2 linked regions of the Notamacropus eugenii genome follow. The protein of the gene in region 1 interacts with the protein of each later gene in a pairwise test. Links are inferred from orthologs where the notes say so. Each region holds a gene or a part of one and is shown in the gene's direction. Other genes may lie near its edges.

Region 1 (7,490 bases):
CTGCAGCTAATCATGCCTACAGGTCAGTTAATAACCATATGTATGTAACTTTTGAGTGGCACACTTTGGGGGATTTCTCACTTCTGCTTATTGTTACCAAAGAGATGATTTTGGAAAACTTCAGTATCTAACACAGTGCCCCTCCCCAAGCCCATGGGTATAGTTAAAAACTCTCCTTTTAGCTCATGGATTCACAAAACTCAAAACATGAATAAAGTTTTTTAGCAGTTTATGGAAAGCAATAATGAATGCTTTTGTAAAGTCTATAGAAAAATAGAAATACCTAGCAGTAAGCAACTTTCTTCCAATTTCCTTTCTAAAGGGTCTTTTGGTCCTGGGACAATTTTCCTTGGGTAGTCAGGGGTGGTGGTGGGGGGTGGGGGGTTGTCCCGGGTCTGTCCCCGGGACCTTCGAGTGAGAATCTCCCTTCGGTGGGCACCGCTTCGGACGTCTCCGGACCTACCCCGGGGGACACGGCGGCAGGCAATAATCAGGAAATGCGCAGGAGGTTCATAGCTTTATTGCATGGAGGAGTCCCACGAGCAGTTCAGGGCGTTGTCTTATATAGGGAGGTTCTTCCGGGCTGCCATCCTAACCCGCCCCGAGGGCGAGGCCTACCACCCGATTGGATCCAGCCCACCCGACCAATCCCGTGGGCTCACAACTCCTCTATGGAAGCCGTGTCCCCCTCGGATTGGTGGGCTGCCACTCCCGGGGAGGCCCCTATCCGCCCAGGCGCCTAGGACCGACCCCCGTCAGGGGGTGGGGGTGGGGTCTCTTCAAATTACCTGGGAGCAATTTCCTAAAGTATCTAGGGAAGGAAGGGAACAATAACATCTTGTCTTTCACAATGTTTTGTAATCATTGCTACAAGATTATTGACAGGATCACCTAGATCTACATGGAAAAAAAAGTTCACTCTCCTCTAAGTTTTGTTTTTTTGTAAATGGTGGCATCCTATAGACACAACCTAAGTCAAGGAAAAACTCCACTAAGCTTTAGTACACAGCAATTTGACCAAATTCTAGTTTTGGTAATTTTATTTTGCCCTCATAAATGCCTCTCTAATTTCAACAAGCTAAAGAACAAGCATGAATACAGAAGGCTGTTTCCTATCAACAATTTTCTATTTAGTAGGAGTGTAATTTTTGTTAAATCTTAATACTTTCTGTGGAATATCAGGTTCTTCAGTAAGACCTGACACCTATGCAAATGAATATGTTGACAAACTATTCAGACTAATTTCAGCTACTTTTAAGAAGTATTTAAATAGTTACAAGGTTAATTTATGTAAAACTTTGTTTACCATTGGAGTATTTCAAAGCAAACAATGGTAACATTTATTTTATTTATTTAGTCCCAATATGGCCAAGGAAATATTTCCTAAACTCTTTTAGTTATATTTATTGTAGAAAAATTCTTAATTTGAAACTTTGTAAGGTGTCACTCTGGCAAGAGATTGAATAATCTATCATACTTCCAAAATAGAGAAAATGCTCTTAGGCTTTTGGAAACAATTATTTATATTTTTGTATATTTATGTATAATATTATTTATATATTATATATTTGTATAAATTTTATACTGATATAAATATTATAGGACTTAATAGTACATTAAAAATGCTGTTGCTTAATATCTTGGCAAAGAATACTGGAGTGCTTTGCCATTTCCTTCTTCAATGTGTCCCAATTTTACAAACCAAGATCGGAGGCAAATAGGAGTTAAATGACTTGCCCAGGGTTGAACAGCTAGTTCAATTTGACAGTAGATTTGAACTCAGATCTTCCTGAATCCAGAACTGATGCTTTATCCATTTCACCACCTAGCTGCCCACCTTAAAAATAGCTGACCTCAAAAGTCTACCCTAACCCAAAGTATTTTCTTTTTCTTTTAATACCATTTTCTTCCTCATGCTCCACCTGGGTTTCTCCATGGCACTCATCCAGACTTGGCCTCATTAAAAGTTATGTTAGTGTGTATGTATCCTCTAGATATTTTTTCCTTTACCTTACTTCCTTGTCAAAAACAGTTTTCAGCATGCCATCTCTTGGAAAGTTCCTGAAAAACTAATTTACACTAAGCTTTAACAGGGACTGCATGTTTCCCAGGAATTCTGGATATCTTCCCAGTGACAGCACAAGGAATGAAATTCTTATGTTGGATGTCCAGGAATCAGCATCAGACCAATAAAAGGCACTTTGGAAGTGGAGGTCCCAAATCTAATCATGTAAGCAAGGACTTTTTCTACCTGCCAGGCAAGCCCTGATGACATATGTTGATTACTGTACAATGGAAGTGGACCAGAATGACATCACTATGTCAGGGTCAGTGTATAATGTGTCTGACTGGCTGATCAGACCAATGCAAGCTTGGAAGACTTTACCACAGGTAGGGCACAAATAGTCCATATGAACATTTGTAATGGAGATATCTCTAAATTTTGTGTATCTCACTTTGAGTGACTGCAATTCTGCTTTGCTCATGGAGCACACAGTACCTTCTTTGATTCCTACATGCCACGATGGGCAGCCCTGTGCCAGAGTTTCTCATATCTCCCAAATGATTCCAAATGCAAAATGTTACTGACAAGTTAAACATAAATAAAAGACACATTCATTTTGGCCAATGGCCTTATGTGATTGGGGTTTGTTTCTTTAGTTTGAAGGTGACACCTCTTCTATGAGGGTGCTAAGCACTCAATTAGCATTAAGTACCTACTAGTGCCAGGCACTGTGCTAAACTCAGAGGACACAAAGGAAGGAAAAGACAGACCCTACTCTCAAAGAGTTTATAATCTGAGGGGGTGGGAAAAGAGACAGCATGCAGACAAGCATTTACATATACAAGACGAACAGGAGAATCTTGGACGGAAAGTTCTACCTTCTGTGAACTGCGACATTAGCAGCTGTAGCTAGCTTTGTTGTTGTCCGGTCACCACAGCTTGCCAATGCCGTCCACAGGGTTTTCTTGGCAAAGACAATCAAGTGGTTTGCCATTTCCTTCTCCAGTGGATTAAAGCAAACAGAAGTGGTTTGCGAGGAGGGATCTGGTCTTTCTGACTCCATATCCTGCACGCTAGCTGGCCGGTGTAGCGGCCCCCTTTAGCTATCTACCTTTGTTAAATTTAGGCATTGATTCCAAGTCCTCTGCTGGTGGGGCTAGGCATTATTACGGTGCCAGTTCTGCCAGGTATTTGGTTTCTATACAAACCGAGCCACTACTTGGAGGACAGCTGCTAACCCCCACAACACTGCATTACCCTAGGACAGTCCACCACACTCTCCCAGTGCTAAATTTGAGGGTCCTTGTCTTATCTTTGTTGTTAAATCATCAATTAAAAAAAGTTTTGCGGTCTGTTGCCATCACATTCAGAGACCCCACCGCGTGAATAGCACATGGGAAAGTTCGTCCTATTTCGTTGAGGAGAAAGGCTGGTGCTCCGGGAACCTCCCCTAATCAAACCCTCATTTATATTTGCTCCTGGCTTCATGCCACGTTCGTGTTTTCAATGCTAGTATTATTTATCTGGTTTTTGCGTCACTGACAATAAGGCATATTTCAACACACCAAGTACTGCGGCCCTTCTCGGAATACAAAGTGTTGGATTAGAAGTAAGGCCTTTCCATCTCCCCTCCCCCACCCCCCCCAAAACAACAAAACCGCCAAAAGAAGCATCCACCCCCAAATCTAATTATATATAGTTCCTTCTCTGGAAGAGGTGGGTGCCTGGCACTCCAGAATCAGCCAGAGGGTTTTCGCGAAGGCTTCCAAAGCCTCGCGTGGGGCCGATGCGCCCCGCCCAACATCTGTCCAACCGACTTTGCTCCTCTTCCCGCCCGCCGCCGGCCTGTCGGCTTGCCGGTCCTGCCGCTATTACAAGTTCCAAGGTGCACTGCGCATCGGGCGCCCCAAGGAAGACTCCGACTCCCAGCATGCTCCACCCCCAATGGCTAGGTCTCTACACTCCGCCCGCCTGGAACGTTGTATGCTGGGAGTCGTAGTTTCTGAAGGCGTCTGCCCCAAGTCGTTTCCCTCGCATCCGTTCCTCAGCTCCAACCCTAGAAGGTGTCACCTCCGTGCGGACTCCCAGATCCCGCGGATAGGGGAGGGAAGGGATTGCTTCTGAGCACAGGCATCTTCAGTCCCGCGGAAACTCCGCCCCCTTTTCCCTCCCTTCCCCCCGCCCCACGCCGCGACATTTCCAGTTCCACTGACAAGAGTCCCAGCAAAGCTTTCGGGCTGCAAGAAATTTATAGAACACGCGGGAGCGCGCAGGCGCGTGAAGGCCCATGTCACATTAAGGTTCCAAGGGCGGGACGGGCGAAGAGGAGGCCCAGGCCGCCGCGGTGGCGCGCACGCTGCACGCAGAGGAGCGTCACGTGGGGCAGCGAGGATCGCAGTGCGCGTGGCCGCGGTGGCTGGTGTGGGGTTGAGTCAGTTGTTAGTGGAGGGGGGGGAAGCGACTGGTCGTCAGACTGCCCGATCCGCTGGCTGGAGCAGGAAGCGAGCGAGCGGTGAGCCCAGGCTGGTGACTGTGCCCTTCTCACAGCCCCGGCGCTTCCCCCACTCTCCTCCACCTCGGGCTCCTCCCACTCTCCCTCCCCCGGACACCCCCCTCCCCCCCACCGGGCAAACCGCCGCCTCGGGCGCGCCCCCGCTCCCCCTGCGCTGTCTCTCCGATGGCGGCCGCTGCCGGGGCCATGGCAAAGCACGAGCAGATTCTGCTCCTCGACCCGCCCACAGACCTCAAATTTAAAGGTAGGTAGCGAGGTGGGCCTCGGCGAGGGGAGCGGGGAGGTCTAGGCCGTCGGCTCCGCTCTTGGGGTGCTTTCCCTCTTCCTTTTTTTTCGGTGGGGGTGGAAGGTTTGACGAGGAGGAAGGAGCGTCGTCCGCCCCCCTCGCCTTGTTCGCCGTGTTTCTGTCCGCGTCTCCCAGCTTCTTCTCTTCTTTCTCGGCGTCAGCCTTTCCTCTCCGCTCCCCTCCCCCGCCCGTTCCCACTCACTCAGTTTCACGCGCGCGCACGCCCAGCTTGTGCCGGGGGCTGGGGGGGGGGGCGGAGGAGGCCGAGGCCCAGGGAAGGGAAGGGAAGGCGAGCGAGCTCGGGGTGCCGGGACCAGGCGCCTTGGCCGCCATCTTGGGATCCCGCCGGGAGGCAGCTTGTGGGTCTTGGGTTCGCGGCGGTCGCTTCTGTTCCTGACCTTCCCTCCTTGCGCCGGGGGCTCGTTGGGCTTTCTTGGGGCGGGCGAGGGAGGCGACCTCGGAGCGTGTGCGCCCGGGGGCTCCTGCCAGGCCCGGGGGTAGCGCGTGCTGCTCCCGCGGGCTCGGGCCGGGGCGGCTTGCCGGGCCCCTCGGCTCCTTCCCGGCGCCCCGTCCTGAGGTCCGCTCTGCCGCCCGGATGCGGGCTGGGGGAGGCTGAGGAGCGGGGGGCTTGCTGACCTCCTGTAAGTAGTGCGCCAGGGGAGGGGGCGCATGTGTCCCTCGCTGGTGCGGTTTTGCCTGCCCATTTGTGTTCCAGGGTTTGCGGTTCCCATAGAAAGTCAGAAAGGAAACTTAGGAAAACTCCTTAGTTCAGAGGCTTTGTTGTAAAGTAATTTCGTACCAGAACCTTTGGTTCTTCCATACCTTAAGAGGGGAGACATCACGCTCTTAAAGGACTTGGCATCTGAAGGACCTGGTGGTTATAGGCGCCTTGCCCTAGTTTTGGTCGTCCTCTTCCCTCTAACTCCGCTGTGGGCTTGGACAAGTCACTTACTTTCGTGTGTAAAGTGAGGAAGAAGGATGAGTGTCATTGGACTAGGTAGTCTTCCTTCCACCTGCTGTCTTCAATGCTAAAGTGGTACTAGTGGCTAGGGTTCTTCCACGTCTTTTTTCTGGTGACCTTAGGAGACATACATCTTAACATTAGTGTCTCCTTTTACCGCATTATGGCCTTGAACAAATCACTTCCAAGTTAATACAGGAAATCACTCACAGTCCGAATGAGGGTCAAAGGCGATAATGCTTGGGACAGGGACGTAGAGATGATAGATATAAATGAGCCTAAAGTTGTAAAAATACCTGAAACTGTAAATGGACCTAAGTTGGTGAGAGTGGGCAGAATTATCTTGGAGGTGATGTCTCCGGTACTATTTTCTGTTTGCTATTATTGTAGGAATCTAGGTGCTCTTTGGGATATCAAACATTGTTTAGGGGACTTAATGAATGAATGAAAAAAGTTATTAAGTGTTATTGGTGTCACAGGCACTGTGCATTAAGATCAAGGAAGTATATTTTAGGTGTTACATCTAAGGCATGACTTAACCTTGTTAAATAGTTAAGTCCTATGTCTTTTTAAAAATTCAATTTTAAAAATTCCGTTTAGTTTAAAAAAAAATTAAAGTATTTCAAAGGGTAAAATGAAACGTGATGAATCTGTTATGTTCTGGGAAGTGTCAGGCCAACAGGAAAATACTTGCATTCCTGCCAGCAACTCATCACAGGAAAGTTAATATAGCAAAGTTGCTTTATACATCCAGGAAATTCGTTTTATGAAGCTTTGGTGTTAGGATACTATTACACAACTAGTGCTTGGCTTTTTACACTGGATTATTTTCTGTGATTCTATAGAAAAGTTATGTAAGCAATTGAGTAAGAGTTTTGTTTCAAGGCAAGTATGAGAAGATTTATTGTTTTGAGGAGTTATGGGACACCTCTGGAAAGAACCAGGTTATGTATATTGTATTCATTCATATGGTTTTAATTAAAAAAAAAGACCTTTCCTGAAAGCCTGAAATTACATCAATAGCCACCTGCTGTTAAAATATTTTGATGTAATCTATAGTGGTGAATACTTTTGTATGTATGTTTTTTTACTTTATCCTGTTGCTTTGGTAGCCTGTGTTCCTGAAATAATATTGTCTATACAAGATAAAGTCTCTTGTGCTGCCATCAGTCTTGGAAATTAGTATTAGGTGAGAAGCTGCCTTATTGGCCAAGTTGGAGGGTTTCTTATGAGAAAATGTTGCTGTTGGGATGAAGAAAGGGGACCCTCTCACCTGAGGTGAAAGGCCCTTGCTTATCTTTTATGCATTCAAAACTGGACCTGTGCTTCCAATGTAATCATAAATGTTTTGAGCATTTAGAAGTTATTTTTCAAACTTAGGAAAACATTGTACCCTTCACTCCAATAAAAGAATTAATCATTAAAGATGGATGCGTTCAGTTTGGTTTAACTGGACACCAAGAAAAATAGAGAAAGCCTATTGTCTAGATTTTGCTATACAATCCGTAGACCTGGTCCACAGATAAATATATTTTGGACTGATGCTGTAAATGGACCTAACTGAGGAGAATAGGCTAGATTACCTTTGAGATGTCATATATTTAGTTCTTTTGATAGTCTGAAGCTTCTCTTTAACAAAGGCAAATCTTTTTCACTGAAGTGTAAAGCAGGTAAGTGGTTCAGTGGGTTATAGTACAAGCCTGGAGTTGTGAAGACATAAGGTCAA
Region 2 (7,374 bases), on another chromosome or scaffold:
TTTCTGGATGCCTCAGCTTCTAAATATTATCTTATTTTATACTCATAACAATAATCACATAGAGATTAAGGTACTTGCCCATGGTCACACAACTAAGTCTGAGGCTGGATTTGAACACAGGTCTTCTTGATTCCAGGCCTCTAACTACTGTGCCATTTAGTTGTCTCTTTCCCTCATTCTTTTTATTTTAAACCTCTTTTGATTAGATTTACTGGACACCTGGTTGGATTCACAAGGGTGGAGATAGCAAGTCTTATTAGTAAGTTGCTGCGGTAAGCCAGATGGAAACTAATGAGAGACTGAACTTCATTTTTTAAGGAAATGGTGTTACAAAACAAACATTATTAATTCCCCCAATCCCTCATGTTACAGTCCAATGTGAAAACACAGGAATGTGGTATGCATGTTGTGCAAGCTTGGCCAAATTTTATACATCACAGGATTTTGAGTTAAAAAGGCACTTCGAGATAATCAAGTGAGTGCATTTCCCTCAGTTTATAGTTGAGGAAACTGAGACCCAGGGAGTGGAAGTGACTTGTTGAAGACCACAGTGCTGGAAGGGAGCTGAGCTTAAGACTCAAATCCAGGTCTTCTGCCTCCAAATCCAATCCTCTTTCAACTACAACATGTACTCACACTAAGTTCTCAATAAATAGCTATTGCATCGATTCATACAATTTCTTGATTTATAATAGCTGTGCAAATAGGCATCGCTGCCTGCCAAAAACACTATTTCTCAACTCTGCTCCTTGAAGACAGACTACAATGTGGTCCAGTGGATGGAGTTCTGAATTTGGAGTCATTGGACCTGGGTTCAAACCACTGCTACTTACAATCACTCAAACAACATTTTTATTAAAGATTTATTTTAATGGCAAGTCTGTGCTAACTGCTGGGGCTACAATGACAAAAGTGAAACTCGAGTATACAGTCTGGTGGAGGAGATAATGTCTAAATGCATGCACACACACACACACACACACACACACATACACACACACACACAGATATTATATCTAAACCCTTACAATGAATAGAAGGAGGGAATTAACCGCTAGGGGACTTACCTGTGCAAATTTGGACAAATCACTTAAACTCTTTAGGTCTCAGTTTCCTCATCTGTAAAATGAGGGGGTTGGAGAAGACCTTTAAGATCCCTTCCAGCCCTAAGTCTATGATCTACTTACAATTCTGCCTTCCCTCTCTTCTCCTCCCCTCCCTCTGGGAGGCAGTGTGGTACAATGGAATGAGCCCTGGATCTGTGGTCAGATGACCTGGGTTTGAATTTCAGTTCTACTACTTACTACCCATTTGATCTTGGACCAGCCATTTAGACTCTTTGTGCCTCAGTTTCCTCACTTGTAAAATAAAGGACTTAAATTAGGTGCCCGCTGAAGGCTATTCATGTGAACATTAGTGCGTGTTGGTGAAGACTGCCTGACCAATTTGCACTAGATACAACACCCACATGCATCATCTAATAAACTGATTTTACTAAATACCCTAAGGAAGTTTGTTTCAATACACATGTACTTCAGCCAGATAATAAGACCAACAGGAATAGTAGATGGGCATTAGATCTTCAATTTGATTGGTTTAGGGAGAGCCCCAGATGAGATTTCCTTCCCAAATGCAGGTGGGCACTATTTTAGCAATTTCTAGTCATCGAGAGTTGCCTAGAACAGAGATGTTAAGTAATTTGCCCAGGGTCAGTATGTATCAGTGGCAGGACTTGAACTGGGTCTTCCGAGGTCAAATCTCTGCTTCACCACTTTGCCTCTAATAAACTCCAAAGTCTTTGGAAAGTATCTACTGTGGCTATAAAGGGAACTTCATGCTACACCATTTGGAGAGATGCAGGGGTGTGTGTGATTCCAGACTCTGTTACGAGAGACATGAATTCAAGTTCTAGATCCACCACAGCTGTTGTCCAGACTTTCATTTTGCTTCAGTTTCCTAGTTTCCTCATCAGTGGGTATAACATTTGCATTCCCTTGCCCTCAGGGCTATTATAACCGCTGCTTCTGCTGTCATCCTTATGCTGTAAGGATCAAAGAAGATAATGGATACGGGGTGATTTGTAATCATCAAGTGTCGAATAAATGAAAACTGTTGTTACATAGCTACCAATGTTAGGTAGTGAAAAGCATTTCGGATCTGAAGTCAGAAGACAGAAGTTCAAATCCTAATTCTGCCACTAACTAGTTCTGTGATTTCAGACAAGTCACCTAACTTTTCTCAATCTCAATTCCCCCATCTAAAAAAAAGGGGGAGGGGGGAATAATACATACCTTATAGAACTGTTATGAAGCTTAGATAATGGATGTAAGGTAATTTGTAAAGCACCAGATACTAGCTATTGTTACTGAGTACCTTTATTCTTTTCAAATCCTGGCTCTGCCATTTATTTCTACCCTGTGACCTTAGGTAAGTAACAACCTCACTGGACCTTAATTCCTCATCTGTAGAATCAGGGACTTGAGCTTGATAGATACCTTTTAAGGTTTATTCTAGCACTGAACCTATGATCCTGTGATCATGTGATTCCATTGGTAAAGGGAACTCCCAAATGGAGGAGCTCTCTTCAGATGCAGGTGGGCACCCTCTGATATCTGTAAGCTTTGACATTTGCTCCATGGGACTATGTGCAGATGTGCAGAGTAGACTATCATGCTAATGCAAGTGCATGTGGAAATCAGAGTGAGTGTACAATAAATCCGATACTTAACCTTGAAACTTGAAGTATTCTCACTTGAAAATGAAATCAGGCAAAAAAAAGAAAAGAAAATGAAATCAGACTAGAAAAATGTTGTCCTTTGCATTAAAAATAAACAACATGTTTCCCTGGGTCCTCTATCCCACCTTCAAATCTTTCACTCTCCAAAAAAGAAATAGAAGAAAAAGAAAATAAACGCAACTCTCTGGGACTCAGTGGGGTGCAGTGGAGTGATTTGGATTTGGATTCCTTGGATTTGGAATAAAAGAAGGAGGGTTCAGATTCTGTTATTCATTGCCTAAGTCTTTGTAATGAGTCATTTCTTCATTAAGTCATGGATTCCTCATCTATAAAATGAAAGGAAGATCTAGATGTGATCTCTGAGGTCTCTTCCATCTCTAAATGTGTGAGCCTAAGGATGAAAAAGAATTGTAACATTCATTACATGCTCAAGCAATGACCATGGAGATTAGGATAAATAACATCTTTCCTGCAAAAAAGGGACTTCTCTGTTATTAAACCTACAAGAAGCCTTACCCTGTCCCTCTCTGAGATCACCCACATTTCAGTTACCTTGTATATATATCTTGTACATACATAGCTGTTTGTGTACTGTTGCCCTCCTCGGAAAATGATGTCCTTCAGGGCGAGGACTGCTTTTGCCCTTTGTGTCTTCATTGCGTAGCACAGCGCTTAATTAAATGTTTGTTGATTGACTGACTGACTACGCTGTCAGACTTCAGTTTTTCAACTAATCTAAAAGAAGTGCGCTTGTGCCTGTGAGAATGTGTTTGTTTCTGCGTCTGTGTGTGTGTCATTCACTGCCTGTTGCTCTCTGTGTGCCACTGTCTTTGTCCCAATGTTTACAACTGTTTCTTGGTGCGCGTACCCATGTGTCTGTATGCCTGTGTCTGTGTGTGTCTAGGTACCATAGTTACATAATTAGGGTTAGAGTTACTCGGTGTTCTTGCGTCTTCGCGTGTGCCTGTGTACCTATGTCTTTCTCGGTCTCTCTCTCTGGATCTCTGCGTCTGTGTGCGCTAACGTTTTTCTCGGTATGCCTGTCTGTGTGTGTGACTGTCTCTCCGCATCTCATTACATGTGTGTGTCTCCTGGGATCTGCTGACTCCCAACGGGGCGTCCAGTCTGCAAGGCCGGGGCAGGCAGAGCTGCACCCCCTGGGGCTCCCGCGGAAACCCAGAGCCCAGATCTTCCACATTCAGCGCGCCCTGAATAAGGTGCGGCTCCGGGGAGGGCCGGGACTCCCAGCAGCAGGGGGGGAGGGGCGGGGTCTCCCTCACACCATTGGCCGAAAGTAACATAACGTCATCGGATGGAGGCGGGCCGGGGGACAACCGAAGTTCTGAAGTCCGGGGCGCATAGCGGGCTCCGAGCACTTGCAGTCTGCGCGCTCGCTGCGAGAAGCTGCCGCTTTCGCTGTTCCTAAGGTCAGATCCTCAGACTGGGGCGCGCCCTGCTTTCCTCCTTCCCCTCTGTTCCTGGAGGTCCTGTGCACCTTACGGAGACTGAATGACGGGCCCTCGTCGGGCGAGCAGCTGCTTGGGACTCTCAGGGAGCTGAGCCCCTGCCAAGAAGAGATTGGCAGCGGGGTACTCTCAATCAAGGCTTGTGGACCTCCAGGGACGGCCCCGCCCCCCGGGGGGACAGCTTGGGGGGTCATGTCTGCCAACTTGAGCCACAGCTTTTTAAACGCCACCATTCAGAAGGGTGAAGCGTGGATGGTGGGCTTGGGCATTGTCATGTCCATTATAGTTCTAGCCACTGTGTTTGGCAATGTGCTGGTCATCACAGCCATCGCCAGGTTCCAGCGTTTGCAGACAGTCACTAACTACTTCATCACATCACTGGCTTGTGCTGACCTGGTTATGGGGCTGGCAGTGGTGCCTTTTGGTGCCAGTCACATCCTCATGGAAATGTGGACCTTTGGGAACTTTTGGTGTGAGTTCTGGACCTCCATTGATGTTCTGTGTGTCACAGCTAGCATCGAGACCCTCTGCGTTATTGCTGTGGACCGCTACTTCGCCATCACAGCACCTTTTCGGTACCAGAGTCTGCTTACCAAGGGCAAGGCCAGGGTGGTCATCCTAGTGGTCTGGGTGGTATCGGCCCTCACCTCCTTCCTGCCCATTCAGATGCACTGGTATCGTGCCAGCCACCAGGAAGCTCTCTCATGTTATGAGAAGGAGACCTGCTGTGACTTCTTCACTAACCAGGCTTATGCCATTGCTTCCTCTATTGTGTCCTTTTATGTGCCTCTGGTGGTCATGGTATTTGTGTACTCCCGGGTCTTCCAGGTGGCCAAGAAGCAACTTAAGAAGATAGATAAATCTGAGGGCCGCTTTCATGTCCAGAACAGCAACCAGATGGAGCAAAATGGAAGGACAAGTCACCGAAGGTCTTCCAAGTTCTGTTTGAAGGAACATAAAGCTCTCAAGACCTTGGGTATCATCATGGGGACCTTTACCCTCTGTTGGTTGCCTTTCTTCATTGTTAACATTGTCCATGCGATACAGGACAACATTGTCCCCAAATATGTGTACATTTTTCTGAACTGGGTGGGCTACGCCAATTCAGCCTTCAACCCGCTGATCTACTGCCGGAGCCCGGACTTCAGATATGCCTTTCAGGAGCTCCTCTGTTTCAGGAGGTCAGCCCTGAAGCTCTATGGCAATGGCCACTCCAGCAACAGCAATGGGAGAAGTGAGCCCAACGAGGAGCGAGGGAGCTATCCCACCGAGCAGGAGAAGGAGATCGAGCTGCTGTATGAAGACCTCCCAGGCACTGAGGGCTTTTTGAACTGTGCAGGTACTGTGCCTAATGCTAGCGCGACCTTAGAGAGCCAGGATCAGACTCTGGATGATACCCCCTTGTGACTGTCTCTCTGGTTGGTAAAAAACCCTCAGCAAACCAAGCAAGGTGGGGAAAAAGAAAGAATCCACTTTTTAAAAGAACAGCAACCACCAACCCTCCCCCCCCCCCAAAACAATCCACAAAAACAACTCGTCACCAACACTCAAATACTAAGCACACTCTAACTCCTGAGCTAGAAATGTCTAGTCAGCCTAGAGAGAGATGGGCAGGTGGAGGAGGACAGACTTAGCCTATTTATTTTTTAAGTTTTTAAGTTAACAGGAAACAAAATAACTCACCCACCAGTTCTAGGGATTCTGCATTTCTGTAACAGGTGGGTTCTGCCTGGAATGGAGTTTGGAAGTGTATATCCCACTTCAAGGATCTCAGACCTTGAGGACTTGGTCGAGTTTGGATGACTTTCTTCTAGATCTACCTCATTTGTCAAGTATTAGGGTTAGCATACTTCTACTTGGGACATCTATCTGGAGGAGCAAGCCTTCCCCCTGGGCCTTGCGGATGCTCCAGCCGGACCTGGCTGTCCATATGGATTCGTCTTATCCTCCTATTGGCTCACATGGGCTATTGGAGGCAGGGACACAGAGGGGACAGCTTCTGCTGTTGAATGAGCAAAGTCTAAAGTTTACAGTAAATAAATTGTTTTGCTGTGACATCATTACACCTGTTTGTCCAAATCCCCCCAGCGGAACATTCTTGTTGGAAACCACAGGTAACTGTTTGTAATAGCTGTCCAGTGACTTAATGGTGAATTAATAGTAACAATAAGACCTCACATTTCTGTGGTGTTTACCAGTTTTACCTAGTGCTATTCTCCATAGCTTTGTGAGGTGTATAGGGGGAAATATCATCTCCATTGTATTAAGGAGCTCAAGGTTCAGGAGGTGAAGGAAGGGACTTGCCTATGGTCATATGGCTACAAAGTGTTGATGGAGACTTAAACCCAGGGCTTTTGCTCTAGCTCGTCTTCTTTTTTCATGCCACACTTCCTGGAATTACACTTACACATAGCTTAAGTCTGTTGGCATTGAATGTTATAATAAACACGTCTCACATAATCCTTCTACCCTAAATCAGGCTTCTCTGATTTGCTTATGTTGCTCATTAGTGTACCTATTTATGTATTATTGATATGTAAATATATTTAATGATTATTCAATAATAAAATTATTATTTATTATTAATGGGAAGTTGTCAATTTCCCATTAATTCTTTATTCCAAAATTATCCGTGGGAAGATGGTGGTACAGTGGAAAGAGGGATGAAAAAAGCAGCTGGGTTCAAGTGCCCACTGATACTTATTACCCAAGTGACCTTAGTGAAATTACTTAGCTAACTTAGACCTCTGTTTCCTCATCTGTAAAAAGAGGAGGCTGGATTATTAGCTGGCCTCTGATGTCCTTGCAGCTCTAGATTTAGTATCCTATGATGAAGTAAAATTGTGATCAAGTAAAAACTTCAGTTCAGTTCAATAATAATCAGACTTATAGTTCTCATTTACATAGCCCATCAAAATTACAGAGCTCTTTACAGACCCATTACTTCATTGGATTCCCATGCTTTCATGTGGCATAGCCCCATTTGCCTAATGAAAAACTGAGGCCCAGAGAGGGGAAGTAACTTCCTCAAGAGTCTCAAAGCCTTGGAGCTGAGATTCAGACTGAACTCTCCGTACTCTAAATGTAGCCCTCTTCCTGTTGCACCACAAACTGCCTCCTGTTAGATTTTCTGTGTGCTGTTTACATCAGAAAGACTGACTCATGAACCTG

What was found.
Region 2: the proteins of VAPA (region 1) and ADRB2 interact in a protein complementation assay, tested with the Homo sapiens proteins (2 studies listed by BioGRID and IntAct, with this or other methods). The link is inferred for Notamacropus eugenii from reciprocal best matches to the Homo sapiens genes VAPA and ADRB2.

What each region holds. Positions count from the first base shown.
Region 1 is NC_092875.1:233,202,329-233,209,818, reverse strand, and holds the start of VAPA (vesicle-associated membrane protein-associated protein A), read left to right. Parts: upstream 1-4,370; 5' UTR 4,371-4,682; coding exon 4,683-4,761; intron 4,762-7,490. UniProt on the Homo sapiens protein: Endoplasmic reticulum (ER)-anchored protein that mediates the formation of contact sites between the ER and endosomes via interaction with FFAT motif-containing proteins such as STARD3 or WDR44.
Region 2 is NC_092872.1:409,722,681-409,730,054, reverse strand, and holds the start of ADRB2 (beta-2 adrenergic receptor), read left to right. Parts: upstream 1-4,106; 5' UTR 4,107-4,395; coding exon 4,396-5,542; exon of another isoform or gene 5,543-6,317; intron 6,318-7,374. UniProt on the Homo sapiens protein: Beta-adrenergic receptors mediate the catecholamine-induced activation of adenylate cyclase through the action of G proteins. The beta-2-adrenergic receptor binds epinephrine with an approximately 30-fold greater affinity than it does norepinephrine.